Linked DNA regions of Bombyx mori. The protein of the gene in region 1 interacts with the protein of each later gene in a pairwise test. Links are inferred from orthologs where the notes say so. Each region holds a gene or a part of one and is shown on either strand. Other genes may lie near its edges.

Region 1 (10,801 bases):
TAAAAATGAATGAAATTTTATTGTAAGTTTATACATTAGTCAAACCTTGCCTGCTTTGTTGGCTGTTTTTTTATTTAACTTTGATTCAAGCACTACCAATATTTTTATTATCACCCACAATTCCAGTCTGGAGTATATCTGAAAATTTCATTAAAATCAGTTCAGCCATTTCTAAGAGTATTGGGAACATTCATACATACATACAACCACTTTTATATTGCCATGTTTAAATGTTGGATTACAATTTAACTTAAAGTCACCAGTTAAATATAACTAGTGGTCCCGCAGTAGTCAAAATTTGATTTTAATCAATTGAAATTTAATGTTTAAAGATTATTATGGTTCTATTGACAAATACTATTATACTTATATAATATAATCACAGATTTCGCCAAAACCACACTATACATTAATAATAATAAAGACAAATAATATTCATCTATTCTCAATTTGACCAAAGACTAAGGCTAAGTTCATATGATCGCGCGGTACCGCGCGTCACCGCGCGGTGGTAACGTTCACATGACAGAATGTACGCGCGAGAGTCTGGCATCAACATTGATTGAGAATGGACGTGGAGGAAGCAATTTGCTTATTAATTTTATACAGAAAACTGAGACATCGGAGAAAAAGACAAAGGCGATACTGGGTGCATCCTATTTTAATCGAAAGACTTTCTTCAAGCCTTTTTGTAACTTTATATCCCGACCTGAGACTACACGAATAAAATTCTTTTACTACCTGTATCTTTTATGCATGATTTAAAAAATAATTAGCATTGTGCACTTCTTCTCTATATTCTCTATAAGTGTGGAAAATTTCATACTCCTCTATCTGTGCAATTTTCGTAAAAAGGGATACAAAGTTTTTGCTTTACATATTAATATATATATATATGTATAATAATAGTTTACTACACAGGTATTGGTGAGCGAATTTATTCCGATGAACTACTATGTTCCGCCACCGAATATGCTTCCCCCAGAATCACCTGAGGGTCCACCACCACCTCCTATACCAATGGCGAATGCTTCAACTGTCCATCAGGTTAGTCTATCATTAATGTTACAACAGATTTATAGAGTCCATGATCAGAAGATATTCTGATGGAAAAAACTTCATTTGTGCACGTTTTTAGGCTACTAAATTTGTTTCAACAGCTCTTCAAACGGCTTCAGGAATTATAAAGTTTAAAAATTTTAATTTATCATTTTAATAATTATCATAAAATGGTTAGATTTCACAAATTGTTTACTGCTGTATACCATTGATCAGATCTCGAACCTAAAATTTTCAAAAGCGGTAAAAAAAAATTAGACTGGAAGTGTTTGAGGTCCTTTACCCATTTTTTGTGATTAAATAGTCACAGATAAATTTTTCTTGATATGTAGTAAATCCATTATGGGGTCATCCTTATACTAGCGAAGGAGAAACAAGTTCAATTTCGGATCCTACAATAATACATCAAAGACCTTGATTCAAGGTCAGAAAAAACGCGCCTACCGAAAAAAAGTCTGCTTTTATAACATCTTAAAATGGTAAATTCCATGCGTTTGTCTTCTATTTATCGGTTCTTACGTATTTACACTTGGAGGTTATAATTGCGAGGGTGAGCAGATGCCAGAGAGTTACTCCGTCTTATTTGCAACAATCACGACATGTGTGAGACAGAGTGTCCACTAGGGTTCTACTCTGGGTGGTATATCCACAAAACAAATCATCCTACAACGTCCCGCTCCTACGGGGTATCACAAGTTACGCAAATCACAGGTTTTTTATTGGTACAGACAGATACAAAACCAAAAACCAATTCGTTGCTAACTTGGAACGGTCGTGGAATAATGTCACAAAACGTATATTTATCATTTAACGAGAACATAATTTGCGGCGTGGGGTCATATATCTAATGAAATGAGGAAAATACGATATATACATATTATGTACATCTGTTGAGCCTGTATTTGGTACGGCGCACCAGTATAAGTCGACAGCTCCACTGTTTCTTGCTTCCTGATGAAAATGACTGCAAAGACAAGTTAATGGACGTGATAAAAATATCGGTAATTATGGAAAACTAGTTCCGTCTCAGTAGCAATGCCGCACAAATGGCTCTCAACATCAATAGCAGGTACGGAGTGAATACGACGAAGGCACCACTCCTTATTGGCTTGAACGCTTCCGACATGGAACTCGAACGGGACGAATATCCGGCCAGCCTTAGTTAATCTCTCGTCGTTCTCCCCGGCCCTTGCTCCAGCAGATTACCACTTTTCCGGACTTTGGAAAAAAAACATCAGTATAAGTCACATGAGGCAGTATAAAGAATATTTACTTTATTTACAATACTTACTGAGTCTCCTCACATACAATTTTTTTTTCAATAAAGGAATCAATACTTTTTTTTAATAAATGATTTTCATATTTTTTTGGTGTTTTAATTTTTCCGCACAAAAGGCCAACTTCATAAGTAAGGACCTCCTAATATTAGAATTTTGAAAATATGTAGGTAAATTTGTTTTATGCTGCGTGTTGAATCTTCTGCTGTGATATCCGTGGCGCGAGGGTACACATGTTACGGTAGACTGTAGTAGAACTTTGAAGAAGGAATATCGCAAGTGAAAGATAATGGTTTAATGGCTCACTAAAAGATCCTGCATCCGGGAGAGGTAGTAGGGGCGTGACGATAAACAGTGCAGACGCGCATCGTGAACATCTGATCGACGGGGCGGCGACGAAAGCTAATCTATTTCGGCCAGTCATGCTAGTGCTGCAGGTGTTCCCGGATACCTCGAATGAAAACCAGCTAGTCGAATCAATCACCACCACCGGTCGTTCTTTAAGCTCTGCGCCGCGCCGCAGTACATTGGCGCCACGCGGCCACATCCGAAATGGTTCACTAAGGGAAGCCGCCTCATGCAAGGGCTGCAGTTGGACGTGAGCTCTCCTCTTGCCCCCGGCTTAAAGCCTACGGTTCGATGCAGTTCGAGAAGAGTTCTCTCAATTACACATTCATTGTACCCGAAGTGCTTAAGATGAAGGATACATCAACAGCTAGCAATGATAAAAAATGATAAAAAAAATCTACTGAATTAGCTTGGTGCTTTTTCCAGTGTGACTTCATCAGAATTCCAAATAATTGAATTTGTCTCGAGATGACTACGACTGAGTGTTTTACCGCAATATCTAAAAAAACATCGGTGGTGCGAAGTATTTGCTCGGTATTAGTTTATCATGTTATACTTGTATACATTTAAATCATCTTATTTTCCTTGCTCCACTGTAACGCTCTGTCAACATATTTAAAAAAACTCCACCCTTATATTGCCGATAGAAAGAGGTCGTTTGCGAATAGTAAGCAGTGTGCCTCCAACACAATCGTGGGGAAATTGAAATATAGAATACATGTAGTACACACAAGTAGTCACAAAAAGAACACAAACATAAGTACGCATGGCCTTTTGTAATTATCCAAAACGAATCAGCGTGCTTTAATAGGAATTCACTGTACAAAATAAGACAAGACCATTTCCATTGACATTTATGCAAACGATTATGCAGTTAAATTTTCACAGGAGAACGTGGGAGGAACTACCTATTTCTACTCGACCAATTCAGACAGCCTCAATACCACTAGCGGTCTTAATTCATCGGCTTCCATGGGTAAGTCATCAAATCCACGATAAGTTAATACTTTTAATACTTAATACCCAACTAATATTATGAACAAAATACACTTTATGCCTATAGCTACATTTTTCTAGTAGTAGTAGTTTCCAGTTATAGTAAAGCCTAATAAAATTATGAAATTGTCACTTAGTAACGTAATTTAACGGACAAACAAAGATCACACAAAACCTGCAATGTCGGATCTGTCATCATATTTCAATCATACTCGTATTCATGAGAAATAGCAATAACAAACAATATTCATGAGAAATTTTATTGAAATATCAGCCATTCTCCGGTAACACTACAAATTTCTTGGAATTGTTTGTTCAGTAACTTCTCGGTGTTTAATTACTTTTATTAGAACTGCGGATTGCATCGTTAGCCTCCTATTTATATTTTTTTGTGTTACTCAAAAAGAAACCTAATTGCTTTAAGGGATCAGAATTAAGTTATTTCCTTTTGACTACAACCCACCTTGTGTGTTTGATAAAGTTTTTACATCATTAAACTCGTTTTACGAACAAAAAATGTGGATTCAAATGATACATGATTTTACGTTAAATTTAAATGTAATTTCATGTAAATAAATATCGATATGATATAAAGAACAACATCACCGAATCTGTCTAGAATTCTTAATAATTATTATGCAAAGTTTCACACATACTTGTTGATCGTCGTTGACGATGTATTTCAATATAACAAACTTCGAGCATACCTTAATAAGCTAACCATGTCTGGTTTAGTACCTGCAACCCCCTTGTCTAGACAGTGACTATGGATATAGTATGTTTCTATGTTTCTCTCCGAGGGGTGTCTGGGTTTGACGAACTATTGATTCGACGCGTTTGCAATGCGCGTATGTCGGTCCACTCAAATCAACAACCAACCAAATAATAATATGTATAGAACATAACATGAATACACGAATAAAAAGAAGAAACGGACATTATTATGAAATATAATATATATGTTAGCATTAATAGTAAATGTACTTAAATGAAAAATACAATACATAAAATTGTTCTTTCAAACCGGTACGCCACAGAAAAAGGACTCGAGATAAAGTATGCTTCTTTTGAAAACTGTTTTTAAATTATTCACGTGCTTCCGCTTACGAACGCCAATGCAACTCACCACTGAAGGGGCATGGAGTACGAATATCAATAATGCAATTAACGAAATTCTTAATTAGATTCTATGGTCTATGCCCGGTGTTAGCAAACTAAATAATAAAATTGTTTCTTGATATATATAAGTTTCCTTTATTTCGTTTTGTATGGCTAACAATACCAGAAGAACCGTGCATGGACTACTCTCTGCTGAGCACCGCAAGACCATATCCATTGGTATACCCATGTAAGCAAGCCTTTTACGCATGATTTTGGTGTCCATCTGTAGAAACAAAATCATTTTATTTGGTTTGGTTGTATACTATTTTCTATAATATCTGTGTATCTAAATTAATAAATAGAAATCGATAAAATATTAGGTTGGTTTTTTTTTTGTAATTTATTGTGTATTTTAGATTATTTACTAATTTTTATTGATAGTTCTGAGCTGTTTCATCATAGCTTATGTCATATTTTTTTAAATAGTTACAGAGCCGATTACGACACCTCACACGACGCTGGAAACATGCTTATTTACTTTATACAGTATTATTTAGATAACTTAATTGTTTAAATATTTATTTAATAAATCATAAATATTATTTAAATGTTGCATGTACGAATAAGAATAACTTGAGGTTTACATATATTATTTTACTTATTAAATAACGTAAACTCTATTATTGATTAGTGTCAGTGGATATTTATGTTTATGTGTAAAATAATAGTTTTATTGAAACGATTTATCAGGCATATTCAAAGCGTTTTTAAGATTTCCACCAACCAGGTCCGTCTGAGCCATGTCTAAACGCAGTAGGGCCGCCGATGGTGTCTCCGTATGCTTCGCAGATGTACGCTGGGGCCTTACCGCAGCCAGGGCCGTCCACCAACAAACAAGGTTCGTGTTGTCGATGCAATACACTTACCTATTAACAGAATTGAAATTTAAATATACATTTGTAACGATCAGTATAATCATATATATATAAAAAGATTTATTAATAAAAAATATCTATTTTAATGCTGATACAATTTCAATTCTGTCACAGGTATTTCAAGTTTTACTAACAGTGATTGTGTTTGCTTAGTCCAACCGCATTGCCTATTTCTGCCGCGAACTAATTATGCAATTTTCGATTGAAAATTACGATAGTCTATTCGAGATTCGTCAATGTGGCATTGGTAGTCACGTTACTCTGTTGGCTCTAGTGATGGATGATTAGATGAGGCGTAGAACCATTTGCCGATCTAAGCAAACATAATCTCATAATCATTATCACTAATTTGCTATGCGTTATATATATATGATAAAGAAATCTATGTGCTACTTGTGTAGGCAGTGCTTCTCCCATGGCTGATGTTCATCATTGATGGTAACCACTTACCGTCAGATAGGCCATATATGCTTGACTGTCTACATTGAAAAAAGACGAGAGCAAAGTCTAGAAGCAGATGTTTTTATTGTAGAGGCAAAAATATTGGGACAACATAATTAAGACAAGAATTCGATTTGAATCATATATTCCTGTGTTGTGCCACCATTATTGTTCTGGTTAAATTGTTTCAGTATACAATGAAATAACAAATAAACGAGGGTGGTAGGTCCCTTTTTAACATGAAATAATAAAAAAAAAAAGGAGGCTTCAATATATTCATTGCGATGTTCTTTAATCTTATTAGAAGCAACCTGCGTAACATTATAATTATAGTACATCGTTTAGAATGAATTTATAAAAACAAATGCTTGATTCATTTCAAATATACTTCGAACATCCAGGGGGGAGACAATACAGTATTTAATACACAAAGGATCCTTCAATATTGTTCAATCTCATTCGTTTCGCAATATTAGCATGTGTCAATTTCATTATGCTATCAATTTTAAATCTTTTGAATACCTGAACGTTATTTGTCATGCGTCAAAAGGATGGCTTTGTTTAATATTAATCACGTCATGTGATTTATATAAGGGGCGACGTAGTCATCCACATCCTACTAGCCCTGACCCCTGGATCATTAGACTTGCAAAAATCAGCGAAACTCAGCACTAAAACAAAGCATCTTGCTAAGCGAATGAATAAGATTATTTCAACAGCTCGGCTAGTCAATTTATTTGTTAAATTGACCGAGCTATGCTTTGCTATTTCTATAGGAGCGTCGCGTGCCCAAATGTAAAAGCGTAATAAATGATAGTCATTAATATTATTAAACTCTGTAAGATCATACAAATAAAATTATTGATCTAATTTTTGCACTTTAGATATTATTTTAGTTTCCATTCGAATCTGTTGGTCTAATACTCGGTTGCATTAATTACCTTCAGGAATAAGGCACCGATGTGAATTTGAATTTATAAATAAAAAGCGGCCTTACATGATGTAAATCATGTGCCATTTATGATAAACGAACCCTTTTCGAGCTCTCCTTTAGACATCGTTTAGAATCTGAATGTACAACAAAGTGGGATCAGTTTACGCTCTGAACTATAACCACACAATTGCTCGTTAAATCTTCTATACACGTCGAGATGTCAATAACCATAAGAGAGCTTATTAAAGTAAAGCATGGCGCGCAATGTTTAAATTTTAAGGGAATAATTTCCGCGAAGCGCCTGCTCGTTTAAGCATACCTTTACATGACTTTAAGCTTTGCTAATATTATCAGTGAGCGAAACTCGCAGAGCGACATTACTACTATTGAATAGCGCGCTACTGCTAAAGCGCTCCTTCGATAAACGTTGCTACGAAAATCGTTTAAAGAACATTGCTATGAATATAAAAGTTGATATTGAAGCGTATGGGGATATTTCATTTACCTACCTACCTACCTCTTTAAAATATTTTTAAAACTGTTTCATGTTTGTTTAGAAAAAAAAACAACAACAGTTTGAATTTTCATTGTTCGCAGGTCTAGCGGCGACTTTTTACAATCCCGAAACAATACGGTCTGAGATCTACGACAGGAATGATGATGTTTATTTGCAGCCTGATCTCAATCAGTTTCCAGGTACATCGGTTCTAACAAACGAACGACCCGGCACGTAAAGGGGTTTTCGACTTAATTTGATTCCCTTTTTATTAATACGGAAATATGAAAAATAGATATTTTTTCTTATGAGTGATTATTAAGACTGATATCACTCTAATGGCATCGTCTCATAGATGTCATCGAAAAACAATGTATAGATATGCTCCGAACAAAAGTTATATCGCAAAAGATGCTTTCAATTATTACTCAGTAAATACGTCATAATGAAATCCAGTGTCTAACGCTATTCTGTTGTAAAATGCCTCCAATGAAATAGAAATTTTAATGGATCATTAAATTATGAATATGCGTTTGTTGTTGTTAGTTGATCGGTTTTTTTGAAGGGATTTTCTGACCTAGTAACTAAGACCTTTAAGTCATATTTTATTTTAATTTATTATTCTTATTTTTATGAAAAATGATAATATGGAGTGAAATGAAATGAAGATGATTAATTTGCGACATTAATCAACTGGGACGAAATTAAATGTAATGATATGGGATGAAATATAATCTCAGTATAATGGTGGTCATTTACTGAGATTTTTTCAGTGGACTTTTTGAAGGATCCCGAGAAGTTACATCCAGCGCCTTTGTTTAATTTTCCCACATTTGTGCACTTTCACAGATATTAAACAGTTAATAAACCACCACTGTTACACATTTAAATCAGAATAAACACTAAATAGACAAAATAAAACAAATCACAAAACTTCACTCCTTGCGTTCCCGCCAAAAAGTCTAGTTGATCGGTAAGTTCTGTGTGTAACAGATATACCGGACAGCGTGGACATGTACGCCGAGCTGGTACCCCTGGAGGGTGCCGTGACGCATTCGATGTCGACATCGTACCGCGCTACTAACCGTCAGAACGGTGATTATGTGGCTCTAAGGAGGCTCCATTCTTACACGTCGCCGGCCTCCAAGCGTCTTGAAATGTGGAAGCAGATCGACCACCCGAACATTGTGCGTCTGGAAGAATATTTCAGCACCAAGGCTTTTAACGATATATGTGAGTAAATTTAGCAACTTAAAACAAAATGATTACATTTCCAAGCATAATCCATTGCTCGGTCTACATTGTTATTTTAATATAAATGTTTTTTTATGTAAATGCATCTTTTTTTCGAAACATTTAGTATTTTAACGTTTTAACAGTCAGGTCTCAGCTAAATTAACTACTATATGTAAGTTAATAGCGTTATTAGTATTTTGTGCAAGTCATTGTCTGCACATATTGGCAGTTTTTTTTTAAATAGATAATTTTAAATAATGAAAATATAATTATCTATTATTTTTATATTTATCTAATGTATTAAGGTTTGGGCTTTAATTAATAATCATCATCATATTAATGATAACAGTTCTTATTCATTATAATTAAAATTACATTAAAGCAGGAGGCTTTCACGACGAAAAAAGTTCTCTTATGCTGGTAGGAAGATCACAATATAATACAACACTAAGGACTATAACTCTGAAATTACATTTTTTTTTATTAAATCTACTTCCGTTAATATTTCAAATCATAGTAAAGGGCGTTTTTAAATAATAAAAAAATTAACGCAAGGTTTGAATTAAATAGAAAACACAGTTTTTAGTCTTTTGATTGTTATTTTTCTATTGTATCATAAAATACGTAGGATAGGGTTATTTATGGAATAACACATCGGGCAAATTGCCTCCATGGTCTTGCATGCACTTACATATTATGCAAAAATGTAGTTGAATTTCTTTGATGCAGCATTGAATCTTATCCTTTAATGTACGGGTGGTCGTGGATTTGTTCACCTATAACTATGATTACAAATAGCCCCATAAACAGAAATGTAATGGTGTTAAATCACACGATCTAGGGGACCGATTCTGATCACCGGAACGAGAGATTACACGACCTGGAAAGGTCTTATGCTTATGTAGCAATAGGATTGTTTTACGTGCTGTATGGCATGTGGCACCGTCTTGTTGAAACCACATATTAGCCACATCAACATCCAATTTAGGCAGAATGAACTGTGTTATCATGTTGCGATATCGAGCACCGACCGTTCCCCATCAAAAGAAATGTAATGGTGTTAAATCACAGGATCTAGGGGGCCAATACGAGAGATTACACGACCTGGAAAAGCCTTATGCTTATATAGTAATTGGATTACTTCAAGTGCTGCATGGTATGTGGCACCGTCTTGTTGAAATCACATATAGCTACTTCAACATCATCCAATTTAGGCAGAATGAACTGTGTTATAATGTCGCGATATCGAGCACTATTAACAGTCGCTGTTTGAACAGATTCTTTTTCAAAAAGTATGGTCCAATTATGTTTCCAACGTTCCATTTTTATTAACTAACCTTAACTGTCAGCTTTCAAATTGCCGTTTTTTAGGGTTGCCAACTTTGTGCAAATGGCAAATTCAAATCTTGCGTTAATTTTTGAGACACCCTATATTTACAATGAAAAATACTATGACGAATATTTTAAACAATTTCAAATGTTTTAAATGCACACATTGTCATTATCTTGTAAAAACAAAAAATGTTTACGTATAATACCTACCTAAATGTAAATGTGGGCGACAAATTCAAACGATCAATTAAAAGAAAAAATACCCCTCGCTTGTGGTTTATGCTTAATCCAAAAGGAATTTATTTGCGGCGACTAATATGGGATAAGTGTGGTTCACAATTTTTTTCACAGATTTACTTTATATACCTGCCTTAGCTTATAATGAAATGTCTTCATGAAGACCTAGCACTTTATTAATGTTACAAAATTTTCCACCATCACTACGTTTAAAATTTAAAACCATTTGAACCCATGTTAATCACATTATCGGGTTATTGTTCTGCTGTTTTGAAATTCAAAAATGACCGCTATGCATCTTAAGCCTTTTGAATTTCAGTTTTATTATCGTTTTTTTTTTAATGAAAATGTTTTGTCCTGAGTGACTTCATGCAAATGAGTCTGTATTCAGGTGACATATTTCAAGTTG
Region 2 (10,801 bases), on another chromosome or scaffold:
AGCCCATAACCACTTCATTAGTTATCGTCATATCACAAAAAATAAACGAACTGGTTTCGGCTCGTAGACTGGTGGAGATGGAGAGGTCAAATTGGTTTATCGGTTGAGGTACCTGATGATACCAAGGTCACATTGATAGGTCAAACATTTGTCTCCAGGTAGAGACGCACAGTTCACAGTGCAATGTGATGGACGTTGCGTCGACGAGTCAAGCCCTCGCTTTCGGCGACCAATCAGGACATTTAAATCTTTTCTCACCGACGCAGAATCACGAACCTGTATACAATAATTTTTCAAGGTACGGATATCAAAGTAATAAGGTAAGCTAAAATATAAAAAAAAAAGTTATATAAAGTTATATGCAAGCGAAAGAAGAGGAAGCTGCATAGTAGATTTTTGCAAAGCATAATTGTTAAAGTCATAATAGTCAAACATCAGAATCAATTTTTATTTGCATTTAATATTCTATTTCAATCAACCCAATTAAGTTTCTGATTGGCAATTTTGTGTTAAATAATTGGATACTTAGATTGAGGATATTGGATGTGACCACAATTTAAATAAAATCTGGGATTGTTGCACTTTTCTCTGGCAACAAGAACTAATTTCATCCATAGATATTTATTTAATCAGACCTCAAATTTCATTAACACAAACCGATTGTTTAATTTTTTTTTTATTGCTTAGGTGGGTGGATGAGCTCACACCCCACCTGGTGTTAAGTGGTTACTGGAGCCCATAGACATCTACTACGTAAATGCGCATTATAATTTTGCTGGTTTTATTTTTATGACACGATGTTATTCCTTAATAATTATTGCTTTTTCCTAAATAGGTCGGTTTGAAGGGTGGGTCAGCCGTTGTAACTATACTGAGACCTTAGAACTTATATATCAAGGCGGGTGGCGCATTTTACGTTGTAGATGTCTATGGGCTCCAGTAACCACTTAAAATCAGGTGGGCTGTGAGCTCGTCCACCCATCAAAGCAAAGAGAGAGAGAGGGAGGGAGAGAGGGAGAGAGAGAGGGAGAGAGAGAGAGAGAGAGAGAGAGAGGGAGAGAGAGAGAGAGAGAGAGAGAGAGAGAGGGAGGGAGAGAGGGAGAGAGAGAGAGAGAGGGAGAGGGAGAGAGAGAGAGAGAGAGGGAGAGGGAGAGAGAGAGAGAGAGAGAGAGAATTTAATTTACCGATTCCTGTTTTGAACTTCTATTATGTATTATGTATTGTATTTTATTCTAGGTCAACAGAGTTCGCGGATCCAGTGGAAGGTCTACCTTACGTTCGGTTCAGCGACACCAGGTTCCAGTACTCGTCGGTGCCACTACCTCAGTTGGCGAGCGGCGGGAAATGGTTCAATGAATTGCCACCGGAATTCTTTAGGAAAGTGTATAGGTTGGTACACGTATCATTAATTATATCTAGAACTACCTGACCCGGCAGACTTCGTAGTGTCTCAATCGATAAATAAAATATCTAAACTTTTGTACAAAAGGAATCCGTCCGACGAAAAAATACAATTTTTAAAATTTTTATTTTTATTTCATTCCGAGCACTTGCATATTTATCTTCTAAATCTTCCCTGGACTCCTACAAATAATTCAAGACCAAAATTTGCCAAATCGGTCCAGCCGTTCTCGAGTTTTAGCGAGACTAACGAACAGCAATTCATTTTTACATATATATAGATAGATAGTCGATAGTCACAAAAAAAAAAAAAAAAATTAAAATAATTAGAATTTAAGCTTCCTATTTTAAACTTGTGGAGTCCGGTCACGATTCGTATCATAAAACGAAGCGCCATCTATCATAATTTTTTGGAAGTATGCCAGAAAATGTCTTCGATACTGTAACAACAAAAAAATTAACTCAATCTGATAAACAAATGCACGTATGAATATACAGAGCTATAAACGCAAATTATTATTTACATATCGGAATATTTTAAATCGTATGAATGGCTCTAGTATATATCTAAGTACATAAATGATATGTTACAGAAAACCAAAGCCAGTCGATCCTGAAGTTTTGAAATCGATGAAAATGCAAGGTCCAATAGGATACGCGCCTAATCCGAAAACTTTTAAAAGGAATCAGGTAAATAAATATTATTCATTGCCATTCGCCACTTTAAGACGAAGAACTTAAAGTCGAAGTCTAAATCGTATAGTACAACGCTCCCACCCCTCAAACTGGAACGTAAGATGATGATTTAGCGGCAGAAACCCGCAGGATATTGGTACCTACCAGTGCGGGCTTATAATTACCGTCCCTACCTTACTAGACCATTACTATATGTCTGTTGACGATCGTAATACCCTAGGTACTCGAGGAAAACTGCTGCTAATTTTCCTGTTAATTTATAGCACCCACGGAAAGAAATTTTTTCACTGGTTGTAGGACCTCTTGGGAGTCCGCACGGCTAGGTACCACCACCCCGCCTATTTCTGCCGTGAAGCAGTAATGCGTTTCGGTTCGAAGGGTGGGGTAGCCGTTCTAACTATACTGAGACCCTTAGAACTTATATCTCGAGGTGGGTGGCGCGTTTACGTTGTAGATGTCTATGGGCTCCACTAACCACTTAACACCAAGTGAGCTGTGAGGTCGTCCACCCATCTAAGCAATAAAAAAAAAAAAACGTATTGCTATCATTTTAATACGCTTATTAGCTTCAGACGTATGTATGTTTGTATGTAACGGAATCTTTGAACATGATTTTGACCCCCTTCAAAACGTCGGATTAACTCGAAATTTGGTATACTTATTAAGGACCGATGACAGTTCAATATTAAAAAAAATATTGAAAAACTTTGAAATTCGACTAAAAAATGAAAAATAAATAATAGTTTAAAAAAACTAACAAAACATGCTTTTGTAGAAAATCCAACTAAAAAATAGAAAATAAATTTGAATTATAAATTGTGTAAGAAAAATTGATTTTACTGTAAAAAAAAGCGTGGGGTGCATGGTATCAGTAGCTATAAATGTTTTATGAACAGATATGAGTAGAAGGGTTATTTTGTTAAAATCCTGAAAAGCACCCCACGCTTTTTTACACTAAAATATTTTTTTCTTACACTATTTTTAATACAAATTTATTATAATTTATTTTCTATTTTTTAGTTGGATTTTCTATAAAAGCGTATTTTGTTAGTTTTTTTAATCTATTGTTTATTAATCTTGTTTTTATGGCCGGTGGTCGAACCTCCTACGACGTCCCCGCGCCTAGGGTCGCGCGGCGTACGTGGACTGAACGAGCTCCAAATGTTGGGAGTGGACCGCGGGCCCAAGGATGGTGTTCAGGCCCCTATACACTTATCAACTCCTCTGCACTCTCACCCAAGTGTCCGATCCCCCCAAGGTCAAGGGTCAAGGGCGGAGTAAGGGGTTACCGCGGTCAACACCTACTGCCTTTATAGCCGACGACACACCGCCTATTTTTAAATATTCATAATATTTTGTAATTTGCGAATCTAATGCGATTGAGTGAGTAATAAATAAGTAAACAAAAACTTCATCGTATTTAGAGCTTTATTTACAATATATTCTTAAACAAAGCGAAGTAATTTTTTTTTATAACACATTTTAACACAGATGCCGTACCTTGAAGAATCGTTAGAAGAAATGAGTATATCAAAAATAAATGGAAATAAAGTAATAATGCAGCCGATACCGAAACATTATCAGAAGGTTTGTAGAAGTTACCCTTATATAAAAATAATAACGTTTTTAATATCTATAATAAATATAATGGTGACCAAATTTTTATGCAATGTAATAAATATACCAGCATAATGTGAGCATTCATTGTCTTTTTATACATTGAAAAAATTAAATTATGGAAGCCACTTAAGAAGAATCTTATCTAGAAGATTGCACAAAGTGGGAATGAGTTGCTCGCTCCGGGAATTTCAATATTGTAATAATTGTTATGTTATAATTACTTATTGTAAAAATGAATATTTAAAAAAAACTAATATTTAAAATAAAATTAAAAATCTAATATTTCAAAAAAAAAAAAAAAGACATGCCCGCTGAGTTTCTTGCCAATTCTTCTCAGGACGGAGGCTAATTCTTGTGAATTGGCGGTAGTTCTTTTGACGTTCAACAAGTATGTACTTTCATTTATGTTGAATAAAACTTTTTTGATTTGATTTGATTTGAATTGTTTTATTGAGTTTTGAGTAACTCATTTACTTGTATGTCGGTTGGATTGGAATATTGTAATCTATACTAATATATAAATCTACAGTGGTTTTTACGGATGTTCCGTTATAACTACTAACTACATCCGATTGACTTGAAACTCGGTATCCATGTAGGAAATACATGTACTTAATGGGTAGGCTAATATTTACATCAGTGTTGGACTCCCTAATAATAATGACTATAAATAGTAATGTTAATTTTAAATATCCAGCGAAGCGGGCGAGTACGGCTAGTTAAATTCTAAATTAACCTCTGAACTAATAGAATTGAAATTTTAACTCTGAATTGGAAGACGGTGTTTGTACTAATAACTTTTATATGTAGTTTTTTCAACATGATTGTGTATTTCAGCTCGACATACGATATAATAAGCACGGTCCGAATGAAGAATTAGAGAGTTTCAATAAAACAGGTCAGCCCGGACTGGAAGCGACATTACCGAATTCATACTGCAATGCCATGTTACAGGTATGTATTTGAGTAGATCATATTATTCTATGGGTGAGGATCGCAGAATTTTAAACTAAAGTAAGGCCAACCAGACGAGATAAAAAATGTAAACTAAGTTTCAGGAGTAAAAAACATTTTTATTTAAATAAATTATTACAAAGTTCGAATTTTAATCGCTGTCATCTGTACTAGACAAAGATGATTCGTCGGAAGAGTCCGAGTCAAAATTATGGTAGTGGTACAAGTACAAATGAATTAATAAATTAACTTACCTTTTGACGCTTTTTGCGTGGTGAATTCATTTTAGAGCCGCCAGGCTGTGATTCCATAATTAAAATCAATAACTAAGTACTCACAATAACAGCAAAAATCAAAAATAAAACTAACAAAAACGGAATAATAAAGTAAACACGGAAACGAAAAAATATGTATCACTTCGAACGCAATCCAAACAGGAATAAACTTGTTCACAAAATGGCGGACCAAATGTTCACAACTGCGGTACTCAGTGCTTTCCTGTACCACGAAACACACAACGACAGCTGTTGTCGACCAACTGACGCCATAACTGCGCGTACGAGTGATAAGGACAGAGATAATAATCCCTCGCTATCGCAAATACGCGAGGAATGGCGACGTCTGGTGAAGCGCACCACCAACCCAAGTGATGACCACGACCACTCTGCCAAGAGTGCATACGACTGAGAAGAATCGCAATGTAACTCACTAACGGTCCGCTTGTTTACGTTTATTATCTCGTCTGGTTGGCCTAAGTTTAGGACGAAAACAAGGCGTATATTAATTTTTGAACGTTCCATTAGTTATATAGAAAACACACACCCTGTATTGAAAATTGTATTGAAAATTTACGATTGATTGATGAAAATCACCCAAGAATCAATATATCAATAGTTTCAGATTTATTTATCAGATATTCTTGAATTTCTCTGAGCATCTTTACCGGAAAGGTATAGTTAGTATTCGCTGAATTTATGTGGATGGATTTTTGCCTTTTCTCACGGTATTTGCAGATTGCATCTTTAACAGTCCCCATCTTTTCGCTGTTTTTATTGCTTAGATGTGGGGGCGAGTTCACAGCCCACCTGGTGTTAAGTGGTTACTGGAGCCCATAGACATCTACAATGTAAATGCCGCCCCCCACCTTGAGATATGAGTTCTAAGATCTCAATATAGTTACAACGGCTGCCCCACCCTTCAAACCGAAACGCATCCTGTACTGCATCGTAGTAGTCGTATGATGATGAAAACTGATGATTGATTGATGAAAATCACCAAAAAATTAATATATCAATAATTTCAGGTGTATTTATCAGATATTGTTGGATGGATTTTTGCCTTTCTCTCACGGTATTTGCAGATTGCATCTATTTCAGTCCCCATCTTTTCATACATAATAATATGTTGCTTACTTGAGGTCCATAAAAGGACATGCATATAAAATACATTTTTTCTAATTGTTGACACATTAAAATACTCTTATTTTGCGTAGTTAAGCAGAAATGATTCGAACCCCCGTAAAATGGTACCATGCTATCTTTGATCTTTTCGGATTTGATCTTTTGATCTATTCTATTATTAACAAACCATTTGATATCCACGTAGAATTGTCTTAACATTTTACTATTTCAAAACTGTAAAAGTAGTTTTCGATTTTGAACCTTATTCGCTCACCTTAACGCAGGTTTTGTACTACACGCCGCCGGTCAAAGCCACGTTGCTAGCGCACACGTGCGCCAAAGAGTTCTGTTTGAGCTGCGAATTAGGTAAGTCTGTGTTTTTTTTTCGTATTATCTATGAAGGATATCGATTCAAATATAGAACACTTGTGTCTATGAACATATAGGGCACTTGTGTGTCTTGTGTTCATAGGAACAGAATAAAACGGATATTTCATTACAATTACAATGAAAAAATATGAAAAGAATAATTATTAGATAAATAATCATTGAAAATTTCAGTGTATAGGCTTTCAAACTAATATTATGAATGTGAAAGTGTGTTTTTCTTTCTTTTACGTCTAAATGAAACAACGAATTGACATGATCTTCTTAAAAGTGATGTATATATTGTATATATGTGTATATATATATATATATATTTATTACTTAGATGGGTGGACGAGCTCACAGCCCACCTGGTGTTAAGTGGTTACTGGAGCCCATAGACATCTACAACGTAAATGCGCTACCCACCTTGAGATATAAGTTCTAAGGTCTCAATATAGTTACAACGGCTGCCCCACCCTTCAAACCGAAGTGCATTACCGCTTCACGGCAGAAATAGACAGGGCGGTGGTACCTACCCGTGCAGACTCCCAAGAAGTCCTACCACCAGTAATTACGCAAATTATAATTTTGCGGGTTTGATTTTTATTACACACGATGTTATTCTTTCACCGTGGAAGTCAATCGTGAACATTTGTCGAGTACGTATTTCATTAGAAAAATTGGTACCCGCCTGAGATTCGAACACCGGTGCATCGCTCGACACGAATGCACCGGACGGCTTATCTTTTAGGCCACGGCGTCTTCAAAGTCTCTCACACTAGTGCATTTCACCGTCAGGTTTTCTATTTCGCATGCTGGACACGTCTGGCGGCACCCCTTGTCAGGCCACAAACTTCCTACGCGCGTTTCGTACGGTCCCCGAAGCGGCTGCCCTAGGACTGATACTGCCGGATCGAGCGCCCGACATAAGAGTCGATTTGGTAGCCTTAATACAGGTAATAAACAATATTTTATTAATGTTTTTTTTTTTCAGATATATTTTATTTTGCTTCGGTCTGAATTGGATTTTCTAATATTATTTCTTTAGATGTATATATTAATGTGTTCTTTTATCCTTGGATAAATTATTGATTTAACCCTTGGATATTATGGTGAACAGTAAAACTATAACCAAAATTGAGTTGTTCTGTAAAGAGTAAATTTTATTTTGTTACATCAACTAGTTTTAACACCAAAACAATCTTTAACATGAATTAATCACAAACTCACATGTAAAAAGAAACAACATTTAAAGCTATTGTTTCACCAGTTCGTATTATTCTTTATTTTTTCAATATTCAAATTACAATATATAAGTTTCACTTGTTTAACCTTTTTTTTTTGTATTTGATGATTTGTAATTGTGTCTTGATTTGGTTTATTTCTTTTATTTGTGTTTTTATTGTAAGTCCTAGTTTATTTTTAATTTTTTTGTAAAATAAGTTTAAACTGATGGCCGTGTTGCCGATGCTTTCAATAAATTAAAAAAAATATATGACAGAATGTCAATATGACAGACCAGCTCCATAGAATCAGAAAGTTCACAGATAAATTATACATCGCAGTTATTACGTAGCAAATACAAACTGTACAAACTAAATGAAGTATCAAGCGCTTTGTTTACATTTATGTATAAAACTGTCCCATTTCCTCACCATCGGCCCACAGATGTCCACAGCTGGACCCAGGTCTCCTCGCAGGTTTGGTGCAACTACCGGTCTTGCGCAATCCACATCTAGATACCTTTAGCAGGTCGTTGCTCTACCTCGTGGGAGGCCTACTCTTTCTCTTATTTGTCTTTGTCCTATTATATAACTATCTATCTATTTACCTGTCATTTGAGCTTCATAATGTTTCAAACTATATTATTGATATTAGGTCTGTCATTATTGACGACAGTATGATTCGTCAGGTTGTATGGGGTAATCGAAGCCCATATACACTTACACGTTGTTTTACAAAGTTTCGATTACTTTTTTTTTATTGCTTAGATGTGTGGACGAGCTCACAGCCCACCTGGTGTTAAGTGTTTACTGGAGCCCATATACATCTACAACGTAAATGCGCCACACACCTTGAGATATACGTTCTAAGATCTCAGTATAGTTACAACGGCTGCCCTACCCTTCAAACCGAAACGCATTACTGTTTCACGGCAGAAATAGGCGGGGCGGTGGTACCTACCCGCGCGGACTCACAAGAGGTCCTACCGCCAGTAAGCGCTGTTGACGCTAGTTTATATAAATACGTTCTTGCAGAGCTGGAACCGCTTCATCCTGCACCAGATTCATTACGAGATCCTCGAGACCCGTAAGAAGGAGAAGGAGTTAGCGCTGATAGCGAACAGTCCGCCCAAAGCACCACGCGCGTCCAACCCGAAGGAACGTCACTCGCTAATGAACGGACAGTACTCCGAGGAGTGTCAGTATACCGAACTGGAGTTCTTGGGACCCACCGAATTTGATTGTCAAGAGGATGGCGAACTCTGGCCGGGCAGGGATGAAGGTGAGAACGACCAACTTTCACATTGGCGACGGCGTATAATCACGGTCGTGGGGCTTAGCGGATATTTCAGCGCATAAGTCGAAGTCACTTTGCTTTGGACTAACGATTGTTATGCAAGAAACGTACAATATCCTCGCAAATAAAACACGCGACCGTGTGTAAGCTTAAATCGATTTGTGAGTTAAAAACTTATCCGAATCTAAAGGCGATATTTTTACTCGAACATTACACGGCAAATGGTAGATGTTTCGTGTTACTTGAAAATAGATATTTAAAAGAGAAATCAAATTAAATTATAATGACATGTTGTCACGTGATTTAGTCAGGAAATTGTTATTTTGAAATCATTCTCGAACTACTAATCTAATGTTGATATTAAATATAAATTAAATGAGACAAACAAAGATTAATTCTCATTATATTCATTAATATACCGATGTTACAATCGTGAGATGAAAAACGTTTTTTTCTATTTCATTTCACGCAGTCTTTTTTGGAATACAATTTGCAGGTGAGTAAGTTGTTTTAGAAATGTAAAACAGACTCATTCGATACTACGTATATGCATAAAAAAGTGATTAGAAACAAAAAAAAGTACCTTTAAATAGCAGGCCGGACTAAAAGTCTTTATTTTGATTATTTTGATCATCATTTTAGGCCAAAGTAAAGCCAATACCAATTACTGTACTGTCATCGGTCGTAACTTTCAAAAGCCGGACTGCTTTTCGCCGGGCACACAGTTATGTCCTACCGCTAGTCATTTTTTATTTATTTAATTATTTATTTATTTAGGAAACAAACATTACATTACAAACTTATTATAATATTTAAAAAAATAGCTAAAACAATAAGCAAATATGTTTCCACAAACAAAATCACATATAAGTAGAAAGTGAACAGAGAAGATAAATTTAGAAATTGCAATAAACAAAAACAACACAATACGCACATGTTATTATGTACATCAACTTACATTATAAAACTATAATACTCATCGGAGTAAATCACCTTATAAATAATTCAAAATAGCTTTTCTGTTTGCTACAACAAGTGACAAACAAAATATGTTTTCTTTACCTTTTTTATCAAAACGAAAATTTATACACACGAATTGCTACGCATTTACTTTTACTTAAATGAATTGCGATTTTTGATATATACGTATCGACGCTTGAAAGGCAAACGTGACTAAGCGACAATGCGTGAACTTTACAGTAGACTAATTTAAAGTTGAAATAACTGAAATTTTTTTTTAACGAATCTAGCTGTAGGATTGAAATTAATTTAATAGATCTAGAAATATTAATTTTTTTTTGCGTATCGAATATGGTTATTGCCTATCATTTACGTACAAAGCAGTTATTGTCGCTTAGTCACGTTTGCCTTTCAAGCGTCGGTATGCAGTTTGATGCAAACACACGCACACACACAGGCGTCGACGGCGTGGGGCCGTTGCAAAACCACGAAAGTCACGAGCTGAACAACCGACAGGCGCACCGGGAGGAGACCGAGATCTCGCAGCTGTTCGCCATCGGTCGGCATCAGCTCAACCGCTGCTTGAAGTGCAACAAGGAGGTCGGTACACTAGATCGGGGGGCGGGAATAGGTAGGACCTCTTGTGAGTCCGCGCGGGTAGGTACCACCGCCCTGCCTATTTCTGCCGTGGAGCAGTAATGCGCTTCGGTTTGATATCAAACATAACATGAAATGAAAAAGAAATGAAAACGAAATGAAATGAAATGAGGTGAAATGATATAGGATGAAATATAATTTCAGTAAAATGGTGGTCATTTACTGAGGCTTTTCAGTGGACTTTTTGGAGGATCCCGAGAAGTTACATACGTTCAGCGGCTTTG
Region 3 (11,278 bases), on another chromosome or scaffold:
AGTGTTATTCCTTCCCTTTCCTCTTCCTTGTTTGGGGTAAATCTTGGCGATACCTGGAACATGCGGAGCAGACGTGCGTGTGAGCTCGCGGGACGTGATTGTTTGACGGGGGTATAGGGAGACCCAGTGAAACGGTGTTCGCCGCCGCCCGCCGGTCAGTTGGGGACCTGAACCCGGGTGTCACTACTAAACTCCGCCCCGGGAAGCTGTCCCGCCAACCGGTGAAAAATCCTGTCGTGCGGTCGTCGTGCCGGAGTCGGAGACCGGAGTGGATCCCGGCGATCGCACGCAGGGTGGACTGGGGGCCCTTCCATGCCCTGCGTCAGTCGCCCACGCAACCCGTGGTCGAGCACGTACTGTGCTCCGCGCTTTATTCAGGTATTGTCACGATTTCGCCTCGAACATCCTACCCCACCCAATCCCACTCTCCAAATAAAATTAAAAAATAATAATAATGAAAGTTCGAAAAAGGAAAAGGGTTTTGTCGGCGATTCCCCATTCCACATTTAATGTGGATTTCAGCAATGTAAGGGGTCTACATAGCAACCTCGACGCCGTACACCACCATCTTGAGACGGCGCAGCCTGCCCTCCTTTTTCTGACGGAGACGCAGATATCCGCTCCGGATGATACTTCGTACCTTGAATACCCCGGCTACGTATTGGAGCACAACTTCCTGCGTAAAGCCGGGGTGTGTGTATTCGTCCGGGCAGATGTCTGTTGTCGCCGTCTACGAAGCCTCGAACAACGGGACCTGTCCCTCTTGTGGCTGCGCGTAGATCACGGGGGTTGTACCCGAGTCTACGCGTGCCTGTACAGGTCCCACAGCAGTGATGCAGGTTCAGCTCTGATAGAGCATGTGCAAGAGGGGACTAACCGCGTGCTTGAGCAGTACCCATCTGCGGAGGTGGTGGTTCTTGGAGACTTTAACGCTCACCACCAAGAGTGGTTGGGGTCCAGAACCACTGACCTCCCGGGTCGGGCTGCCTACGATTTCGCCTTGGCCTACGGCCTCTCCCAGCTGGTGACACAGCCCACCCGTGTCCCAGATATTGAGGGGCACGAGCCTTCTCTGTTGGACCTTCTGCTGACCACCGATCCAGCCGGATACAGTGTGGTGGTCGACGCTCCACTTGGATCGTCTGATCACTGCCTTATCCGTGCTGCCACACCACTCTCTCGTCCTAGTCGTCGAACGACGACCAGGTATCGAAGAGTTTGGCAGTATTTGTCAGCAGATTGGGATGGATTGCGTGAGTTTTACGCATCCTACCCATGGGGGCGGTTCTGCTTTTCCTCTGCTGATCCTGACGTCTGTGCGGACCGTCTTAAAGACGTGGTGCTCCAGGGGATGGAATTGTTTATCCCCTCCTCTGAAGTGCCCGTTGGGGGTCGCAGCAGACCCTGGTATAACAATGCCAGCAGGGATGCTGCACACCTCAAGCGGTCCGCATACGTTGCATGGGATGATGCTAGGAGACGTCGGGATCCTAACATCTCAGAGGAAAGGCGGAAATATAACGCCGCTTCCAGGTCCTACAAGAAGGTTATTGCCAGGGCGAAATCGGAGCACGTTGCTAGAATTGGCGAGCGACTGAAGAGCTATCCCTCTGGGAGCCGTGCTTTTTGGTCGCTCGCCAAAGCTGCAGAAGGTAACTTTTGCAGGTCTAGTCTCCCACCACTACGCAAGTCCGATGACAGTCTGGCCCATAGTGCGAAAGAGAAGGCTGACCTTCTGGTCAAACTCTTCGCCTCGAACTCGACTGTGGACGACGGGGGTGCCACACCACCGAACATCCTCCGGTGTGATAGTTCCCTGCCGGAGATCTGCTTTACACAGTGTGCAGTCAGGCGGGAACTCCGACTCCTGGACGTCCATAAGTCGAGCGGGCCAGACGGCATCCCTGCAGTGGTTCTGAAAACGTGCGCCCCTGAGCTGACACCTGCGCTAACGCGTTTGTATCGCCTCTCTTATTGCACTAACAGGGTTCCGTCTTCATGGAAGACTGCCCACGTCCACCCTATCCCCAAGAAGGGTGACCGGTCGGACCCATCGAGCTATAGGCCTATCGCGATAACTTCCTTGCTTTCCAAGGTGATGGAGCGAATAATTAATATACAACTCCTGAAGTATCTGGAGGATCGCCAGCTGATCAGTGACCGACAGTACGGTTTCCGTCACGGTCGCTCAGCTGGCGATCTTCTTGTATACCTTACTCACAGGTGGGCTGAAGCCTTGGAGAGCAAGGGCGAGGCTCTTGCTGTGAGCCTTGATATCGCGAAGGCCTTCGACAGGGTCTGGCATAGGGCACTTCTGTCGAAGCTACTATCTTACGGAATCCCCGAGGGTCTCTGCAAGTGGATCGCTAGCTTTTTGGATGGGCGGAGCATCACGGTCGTTGTAGACGGTGACTGTTCTGATACCATGACCATTAACGCTGGCGTTCCACAAGGTTCGGTGCTCTCCCCCACGCTTTTCATCCTGTATATCAATGACATGCTGTCTATTGATGGCATGCATTGCTATGCGGATGACAGCACGGGGGATGCGCGATATATCGGCCATCAGAGTCTCTCTCGGAGCGTGGTGCAAGAGAGACGATCAAAACTTGTGTCTGAAGTGGAGAACTCTCTGGGGCGAGTCTCCAAATGGGGTGAATTGAACTTGGTTCAATTCAACCCGTTAAAGACACAAGTTTGCGCGTTCACTGCGAAGAAGGACCCCTTTGTCGTGGCGCCGCAATTCCAAGGAGTATCCCTGCAACCTTCCGAGAGTATTGGGATACTTGGGGTCGATATTTCGAGCGATGTCCAGTTTCGGAGTCATTTGGAAGGCAAAGCCAAGTTGGCGTCCAAAATGCTGGGAGTCCTCAACAGAGCGAAGCGGTACTTCACGCCTGGACAAAGGCTTTTGCTTTATAAAGCACAAGTCCGGCCTCGCGTGGAGTACTGCTCCCATCTCTGGGCCGGGGCTCCCAAATACCAGCTTCTTCCATTTGACTCCATACAGAGAAGGGCCGTTCGGATTGTCGATAATCCCGGTCTCACGGATCGTTTGGAACCTCTGGGTCTGCGGAGGGACTTCGGTTCCCTCTGTATTTTGTACCGTATGTTCCATGGGGAGTGCTCTGAGGAATTGTTCGAGATGATACCGGCATCTCGTTTTTACCATCGCACCGCCCGCTACCGGAGTAGAGTTCATCCATACTACCTGGAGCCACTGCGGTCATCCACAGTGCGTTTCCAGAGGTCTTTTTTGCCACGTACCATCCGGCTATGGAATGAGCTCCCCTCCACGGTGTTTCCCGAGCGCTATGACATGTCCTTCTTCAAACGAGGCTTGTGGAGAGTATTAAGCGGTAGGCAGCGGCTTGGCTCTGCCCCTGGCATTGCTGAAGTCCATGGGCGACGGTAACCACTCACCATCAGGTGGGCCGTATGCTCGTCTGCCTACAAGGGCAATAAAAAAAAAAAAAAAAAAAAAAAGGTCAGATTAAATGATGGCTACACTACTTTGATGGTATGCATCTAGGGGCCTCCCAATATCCAATACCACCCCAAAAAGTAAAGTTATTAAATGGTAAGAGAGGGTGATAGGGCAGTAATATTAGAAGCTAGTGTGTCAGCTTTAGACACCCAGGTACGTAAAACAGCCGCTGAGGCTAAAAAGTTCTCTAGTGGCGACCGTGTACCGGAAGACATGGCGTAGGTAGATCTCCCACAAGAATAGACGACCTGGTGAATCTTGCAGTAATCCGCTGAATGCAGGCAGTGTAGGACTGGTTGCTGTGGCGAGGTTAGGGGAAGGCCCATGTTCAAGAGTGGATGTCTGTGGTCTGCTACGTACATATTTTGATCTGGAAATACTGATAGCAAGCAAATATCTAAAATAAACTAGATTAAAAGCTTTTGCATTGTAAATTCATTTTTGAAGTCTTGTGGATTTTTAAATGTCCCTAACCCGTAGGTATTAATACGATCAACCGTCAAATTGTTAGTTAAAAAAAGGTGTCATTAAAGGTGTCATTACTATACTTGAGACCTTAGAACTTGTATCTCAAGGTGGGTGGCGCATTTACGTTGTGGATGTCTATGGGCTCCAGTAACCACTTAACACCAGGTGGGCTGTGAGCTCGTCCACCCATGTAAGCAATAAAAAAAAAATAAAAAAATTGTGGTGTCATTTACGAATGGCAATGGCAACAGTAGAAGTAATAGTGTTCTGTGGGCAACAGCATGGAGTTAATAAGTAAATAGTAACTCTATGGGCAACAGATTGCAGAGGCTACATACCTGAGCCCTGAGTCCTGAGTGCTTAAAATACTTTATATTGTCTATGGAGCTTACTTATTTAGTGACGATATCAGACAATATCAGTGTTATTTTGAATAAAACAAGTGCTTCCAAAATGCCTTATTGGTATTATGACAAAAAGGATTTGTTGAATACGCCTTCCTTCCGTGATGGGATAAACAACGATGCTGAGAATCGTTACAGAAAGGAAGGAGCGAGATTCATAATCGACACAGGATCTAAAATGGACTTAGGTTATAATACTGTTGCCACAGGGGTTGTTTATTTTCATCGTTTTTACATGTTTCATTCGTTCAGGACGTTTCCGAGGTACATAACCGCTTGCTGCTGTTTGTTTCTGGCGGGAAAAGTCGAAGAGACACCAAAGAAATGCAAAGATATAATTAAAGTTGCCAAGTCTTTGTTGACGGAACTAAAGTTTGCTAGTTTCGGTGAAAATCCTAAAGAGGAAGTAATGACACTCGAAAGAATTTTGCTGCAGACAATCAAGTTTGACTTTCAGGTCGAACATCCCTATGGGTATCTGCTTAAGTATGCTAAATGTTTGAAGGGCGACAAGACAAAACTACAGAAGATGGTGCAAATGGCTTGGACATTTGTAAATGATAGGTAAGCGTATGATTACTATAGCTTAGAGCCATTTGACTATTATTAGAAGAGATATGATGCCTCTAAATTGAAACAATCCTTTGAATTCACATTTTCATGGGTTTTTTTACCACCTGACCTGCTCCTGCAGTGATAAATATAAAATGAATTAAATTAAATAAGAAGTTCAGTAATCGTACCTATAACACAGCGGATTGATTTTGTGTTCTAGCAGTATTCTCATATAAAGCACCCAAATAATCATATAATGCTTTCAATACGAATGATTCACATTTAATTATCTTACCATTTCTACACTTTTTAGTACACATATGGTAACATTCAAAAGCATTTGATAAATTAATAATTAAATTAATTACAATAAAATATGTAAGATAAAGATTTTTTTCAAAAAAAAAAAAACCAAATAGTGACCAAGTAACCGTTGTTCACAATGTAATAGAGTGTAATTTGTTTTTAATTATAAAATATAATATTAAGATTTATTTTGTATTAAGATTTCTGTTGCGTTTTTTATTAGCCTCACACTACGCGAGCATTGCTTGAATAACATTTGTATTCAATCTATCGAAGTTTTATGACACCCATTTTCAGAGCTTCATAAAAAGCATCTTTGCCAGAATAATTTGTTCTTGTTCAACTAAAGTTAACTCCTCTCATAGATGTCCCGTAGGATTCAAATCTGGAGTTTGACTTGGCAACTCTAAAATGTTGTAGTTTTGTATTTAAAAAAAATATTGATTTCCTTAGACTTGTGTTTGGGGTCATTATCTTGCTGAAATTGTCATATAGTTGGTGTGTGGTGTTTAGTGTATGTAAAATCCTTGGACCAAAAAAACCTGTATATTTTGAAAATCTCAAAAAATATTATTTTGTTCTTGCAGTTTATGTACAACACTCTGTCTGCAATGGGAGCCTGAAGTGATAGCTGTAGCTCTCATGTTTCTAGCTGGGAAACTCAGTAAATTCGAGGTGGCAGACTGGAATGGACGGCAACCTAAACACAAAGTGTGGTGGGACATGTTTGTTGAGGATATCACTACAGAGCTATTGGAGGATATATGTCATCAGGTATGTTGAGCTAAGGATTCAGTAAAATCTGAAAGTCAATTATGAACAGACATGTATTCAGTTTGAAAGCTAAAATATGTATTTGAGACCATGTGTGTTCATAAGTGTTCACAGTTGGTAGATAGCAGTATGTTTATAATGTCAATGGCACTGAAATAATTAAGCCGCCAGTGTACATTTATTTAAAAAACACAACACATGTGGGTTTGAAAGACACACTAGTTAATCCAGTATGTTTTATTATATATTTTTTATTGCTTTGATGGCTGGACAAGCTCACAGCCTACCTATTTTTAGGAGGTTACCAGACCCCATAGATATGTATAACGTAAATGACACCACCCACCTTGAGGTATGAGTGTATGAGTTCTAAAGTCTCAGTATAGTTACAACGGTTGCCCCACTCTTCAAACCGAAATGCATTACTGCTTCATGGCAGAAATAGACAGGGTTGTGGTACTACCTGTGCAGGCTCGCAAGACGTCGTACCACCAGTAATTACCCAAATTATTATTTTGCGGGCTTGATTTCTATTACAAGATATTATTCTTTCACTGTGGAAATCAATCGTAAATATTATTTCCAGGTATTAGATTTATATTCACCACAGACACAAGCGTCGGGGAACGATTCCCCTCCTTCTGTTCCTCAGCCTCCAAAAAACGAGAAGAAGCCACCCTCCGTTACACCGCCAGCTTCCGTATCACCTGTCGCCGTTACCGCAGCCACTAAGCCGGTGGTCACGCCCATTAAGAACGGAGGGGAAGTTAAAATTGAGCCCCCCAAAGTCGGTATCACCGAGCCTATTCGGTACACGTATCCGTTTACACCAATACCGCATTATCCTCCAGTGTATACGGCTCCGCCTCCTACAATCCCTCCTCCTCCCAGGCTCCCTTTGGTGCCTCCTCCCATGGTATACCCGGACCCACCCCCGGCACCGAACAGGTTCCCTCCCGTCAACGTCCCACCCCCGAACTATTTCACCCCCCTGCCAAACCGAGGACCTCCTCCAGGGCCACCCCCTCGGCCCTACTATCCGCCACCCTAGCACCTAAGTTATAGATACTATAATTTTTTACTAAAATATAATAATATAGACAGTATTTGTTTTTTTTTTTGTGGGACGAAGATGTGCATTTCATACGTGCTTTAAAATTAAAATCTCATAGAGGAACGCAAAGAATGGTTTAGTTTTTTTGTGATCATCGTAAATACTGACTACAAACATAAGTAAATCCTATTTTAAAAAAGGTGATCTCACAGACTCAACCTGAGAGAATTTGCTAACACTGGCCGTTGCAAAGAGTAGTGCTTTGCTGAATCTACTACCGGATCGTAATTGCGACCCACTGAGAAGATCCTGCGAGAAATTCTGCGGGTTATGTCTACGGGTTAGGTTGCACGTCGAACTCTTAACAAATTGCGTAATATTCTTTCATACTGCGAACCATTTTACCGATTTTATAAATCATGGGCCATTTATCTTTTGCGCTTTGACTGCCTTATTTATCATGTAAAGTGTAGAGATTGTTATAAATTGAGAACACATGATTTAAACACCACTGAAGTTGATAATGCTGTTACTTTGATTGAAACTGGGCATATCTAACGCTGAGTTGTGAAGGGATATATCAGATGGTATGGCAGACCGGGTGTATACGATAGATATAATCAGAAATATAGGGTAAATCCCGGTTGTTTCGCAGAATAAATTCCATACTGCTATTTAAGATATGTATTTCCAATACTTTTTTAAAGTATAATCATCATTTAATATATAAACCTATGAAGTTGCCGTTTTACAGTACTGGCGATTTTAAACGTAATTTAGGTGCTAATAGTTTCTAAATTCAAATCATTTTTATTAAAAAAATATGAAATTCTAATTTCTTTTCATTACATTTGTATACTTTTCACAATATGGACACGATAAAAATATCAGATCAGGTCATGTCGGTTAGAGCCTGGTTTAGCATCCAGGCAAAGCACTAAATGAAGCAATACCCCTAAAATCATGTTTACTGTTTGGTGGTCTAGTGCCAAACAATTCAGTTTTACAGCTTCTTACAGCATTACTCCGGATGCTTACTGTGAGGAACTGGATTCAATGATGGAGAAGCTCCCAAATCTCCAGCTGGCCTTGGTCAGTCGCACGACCCTAGACTTGATACATCACAACAGACGAACTCGAAGCTACTAGGGCTGGAAGTTTTGGATACCCGAAAGACAGTTTAAAATGCCCCCCCCCCCAACCACTGCGCTGACAGAAATACAAACTTTCTGTGTACTAAACGACAATTCGATAAACTCTTATTATGTAGGTTGGAAGTACGTATGTAGTAGTTTATCTTTATAAAATTCATTTACAAACACATGAGTTCTAAAGTCTCAGTATAGTTACAACGGCTACCCCACCACATTCAAATCGAAACGCATTGCTGCTTCACGGCAGAAATAGGCAGGGTGGTGGTACTTACCCGTGTGGACTCACAAGAAGTCCTACCACCAGTAAAAAAATACAAACGTCTGCAGGTAACCAAGAACCAGTCCCCAGAATCATTAGTTAAACTCTAAACAACTTTCGCATAACTTTAATTCCGAACACATTTCATAAACACAACACGGGTAAAAAAAATACATATTATACACATTCCATAAAAAAAATACTAAGAAATACTGATATAAATTAATAATAATTAAAAATAACGTTTTAGTACGAAGCTAATCTCATACATCATAATATATAATTTGACTATAAACACTTGTGCGTAAATCGATTTATAATTAAGAGCTGCCGTTTTTTCGACTAGACAGTCACCGAAATTCATTTTAATAATTATATCTAATTTACGATACTTTATTAACAAGCATGCGTAGTTAATGTCTGTATAGAATTTCATTAAAGTTTATCAAAGACAACTGACGATAGGTACGCATTCGGTTATGCAAGATCTAATATTATATTGAATCAATATTAATGTTTGAACAATATTCAGTCGTGGGTAAATGAATTTTATTTATTGCATATACGGGACGAGCTCACAGTCCACCTGGTGTTAAGTGGTTACCGGAGCCCATAGACATCTACAACGTAAATGCCGCCACCCACCTTGAGATATGAGTTCTAAGGTCTCAACATAGTTACAACGACTGCCCCACCCTTTAAACCGAAACGGATTACTGCTTCACGGCAGAAATAGGCAGGGTGGTGGTATCTACCCGTGCGGACACGAGGTCCTACCACCAGTGAACTGTAACAAGTGGCATCTTGTTTGCGCCCTGCACTTGTTGCTGTGGCCCAGTTACACTAAATAATCGGTCAAAGGCAACAGTTGTAACAGAACATTTACAAATAGGATGAACTTTTCTTTGACATACCGTCAGTCAACATACAAAAATTACTATATACAGATCAATGACCCCAAAATGTATCATCTATCTTGAGCTCTTGGAAGCATCGCTTAGTGTGTGGAGGAGCCGAATGCGTACAGTCGGTCGGTATGGGCGGGGAGCGGTTAGCACCCGTGAGCACTTGTGAGCACGTCACGCATTTTAGGAGCAGAGGGCCCGGTCCGCGCCTGCGACTGTCGAACTACGCGCGAAATAAACATTCAAATAACCTTATAGAAAAATGTTTTACAAATATTTAAGTAGTAAAAGTTTGTATAAAAATGCATTTCAGTTTGATAAAAATTCAAACGAATTCTTCTGACGTTCAGCTCTGACTCGCTTCACTTCAAATATTCATGTTGATTGAATTCATTAGTGACGACAGAATCGTAATAGCGATCTTAGTCGACTTAAAACACTTCAATTCATGCACTACACACAGTTTATGTGAAACAATTATTTTAAATCACTAAATAAAATATAGAAGCTAAATAAGAAATACGACGCATGACGTCACACGTGGCTAGTCGTTACGTAATGGAACATGATCTATTTATTACTATTACTTGGTTTTGGCTCCGTGAGCCATCGTGATCCTGCCTGTCGTACACGAAGAATTGTTATGCCTATACAATGAATTCAATCAACCATTTATAAACATCAAAACTCATTAAAATAACATATAAATATTGTAGTAGCCTAAACATTATAAATGTGTACTTAAATTGTATATTTCGTATAAAAAATCTTATAAAAGGCACTCGATTCATCAGATCCCGAACGAATTTCAATAAGGCACATGATCTCACTTATGTTTTAACAAAATAACTAAAACGATAAATAAACACGTGGATTATAATATACTATCTCAACGAAGTGAAACTTCGGCCATGAAACTGCCCACTGTTTATAAATAATATAAGCGTATTGCTACTAAGGGAACTAAGAGTGTGATATGTTTATAATAAAAATAAAATGGCCTAACGAAAAATACCAAACAGTAAAGTTGATTAATATATGAAATACCACAGCGACGACACAGAAGTTTCACTTCGGTTAATTATTAGGGTTAAGCATATTGTGGTTGACAGTTGAAATTAATGTAGAAAAATTTTCAAAGATTTACAATACTTTATAGAATGTATGTAACAATATAGTAACACAATCTAATATATTGGTATCACGCATGTTGTTCCTTTACATCTGCTAGGATACTAATCATTCAACGAGATAAATACAAAATAATTTATTTTGAGGTGACGAATATCAATGAAGTTAGTAAAAAGAAATTGTTACGAGGCTACATTTATACAGATACGAATCGTTACACAGCGCGCCGAGTCTCTTCAGTCTATCACTATGGTTCACCGTGCTTAGTGCGAGTTATTTAACGTTCTCGATAGCGTAAAAGTTATCACAAATTTGTATGGAGCGTTTGCCTACGTTTGCCGCTAGGGGCGCTGTTCCAACTGCATACAAATTAGTTAACTTTAACGCTATCGAAAACGTTAAAAAACTCACACTGATTATTGCACGAGTTGTTTAGCGCTATGATGTGACACAAGTGTTCGCCACGCAAACGTTAATTGAACAAAGAAATCTCATCATGAATCAGATAACCTAGGGGTTTTTAAGTTCTTGCAGTATCCGCATCCCTTATTTTCCTGATCCGTCACTACTAGTATATTTTATTTACGATTTGAATTATAAAATGCGCCTTAAATAGAATTAAAAATTGAGTTAGGGACTTATTGTAAATTATTAGCGACTACTATATACATACATCACTAGACAAATGGTGGTATTTCTTGACAAAAGAAAATTATGATGATTTTTTCAATTGAGCACTTAACGATGGCAGTTGTTTGAACAAACATCAGACACATTTTAG

What was found.
Region 2: the proteins of PAN2-PAN3 deadenylation complex subunit PAN3 (region 1) and PAN2-PAN3 deadenylation complex catalytic subunit PAN2 interact in binary tests that used the Drosophila melanogaster proteins (3 or more experiments, as listed by UniProt). The link is inferred for Bombyx mori from reciprocal best matches to the Drosophila melanogaster genes PAN3 and PAN2.
Region 3: the proteins of PAN2-PAN3 deadenylation complex subunit PAN3 (region 1) and cyclin-K interact in a two-hybrid assay, tested with the Drosophila melanogaster proteins (3 studies listed by BioGRID). The link is inferred for Bombyx mori from reciprocal best matches to the Drosophila melanogaster genes PAN3 and CycK.

The regions. Positions count from the first base shown.
Region 1 is NC_085107.1:5,726,246-5,737,046, reverse strand, and holds part of PAN2-PAN3 deadenylation complex subunit PAN3, read left to right. Parts: intron 1-501; exon of another isoform or gene 502-568; coding exon of another isoform or gene 569-649; intron 650-921; coding exon 922-1,047; intron 1,048-3,572; coding exon 3,573-3,660; intron 3,661-4,947; coding exon 4,948-5,028; intron 5,029-5,553; coding exon 5,554-5,679; intron 5,680-7,688; coding exon 7,689-7,787; intron 7,788-8,580; coding exon 8,581-8,820; intron 8,821-10,801. UniProt on the Drosophila melanogaster protein: Regulatory subunit of the poly(A)-nuclease (PAN) deadenylation complex, one of two cytoplasmic mRNA deadenylases involved in general and miRNA-mediated mRNA turnover.
Region 2 is NC_085114.1:5,144,669-5,155,469, forward strand, and holds part of PAN2-PAN3 deadenylation complex catalytic subunit PAN2, read left to right. Parts: intron 1-158; coding exon 159-298; intron 299-1,236; coding exon 1,237-1,389; intron 1,390-1,994; coding exon 1,995-2,091; intron 2,092-3,588; coding exon 3,589-3,684; intron 3,685-4,554; coding exon 4,555-4,671; intron 4,672-6,355; coding exon 6,356-6,437; intron 6,438-7,238; coding exon 7,239-7,396; intron 7,397-8,698; coding exon 8,699-8,945; intron 8,946-10,377; coding exon 10,378-10,520; intron 10,521-10,801. UniProt on the Drosophila melanogaster protein: Catalytic subunit of the poly(A)-nuclease (PAN) deadenylation complex, one of two cytoplasmic mRNA deadenylases involved in general and miRNA-mediated mRNA turnover.
Region 3 is NC_085129.1:15,382,878-15,394,155, forward strand, and holds cyclin-K, read left to right. Parts: upstream 1-4,053; 5' UTR 4,054-4,336; coding exon 4,337-4,923; intron 4,924-5,807; coding exon 5,808-5,994; intron 5,995-6,580; coding exon 6,581-7,045; 3' UTR 7,046-7,100; downstream 7,101-11,278.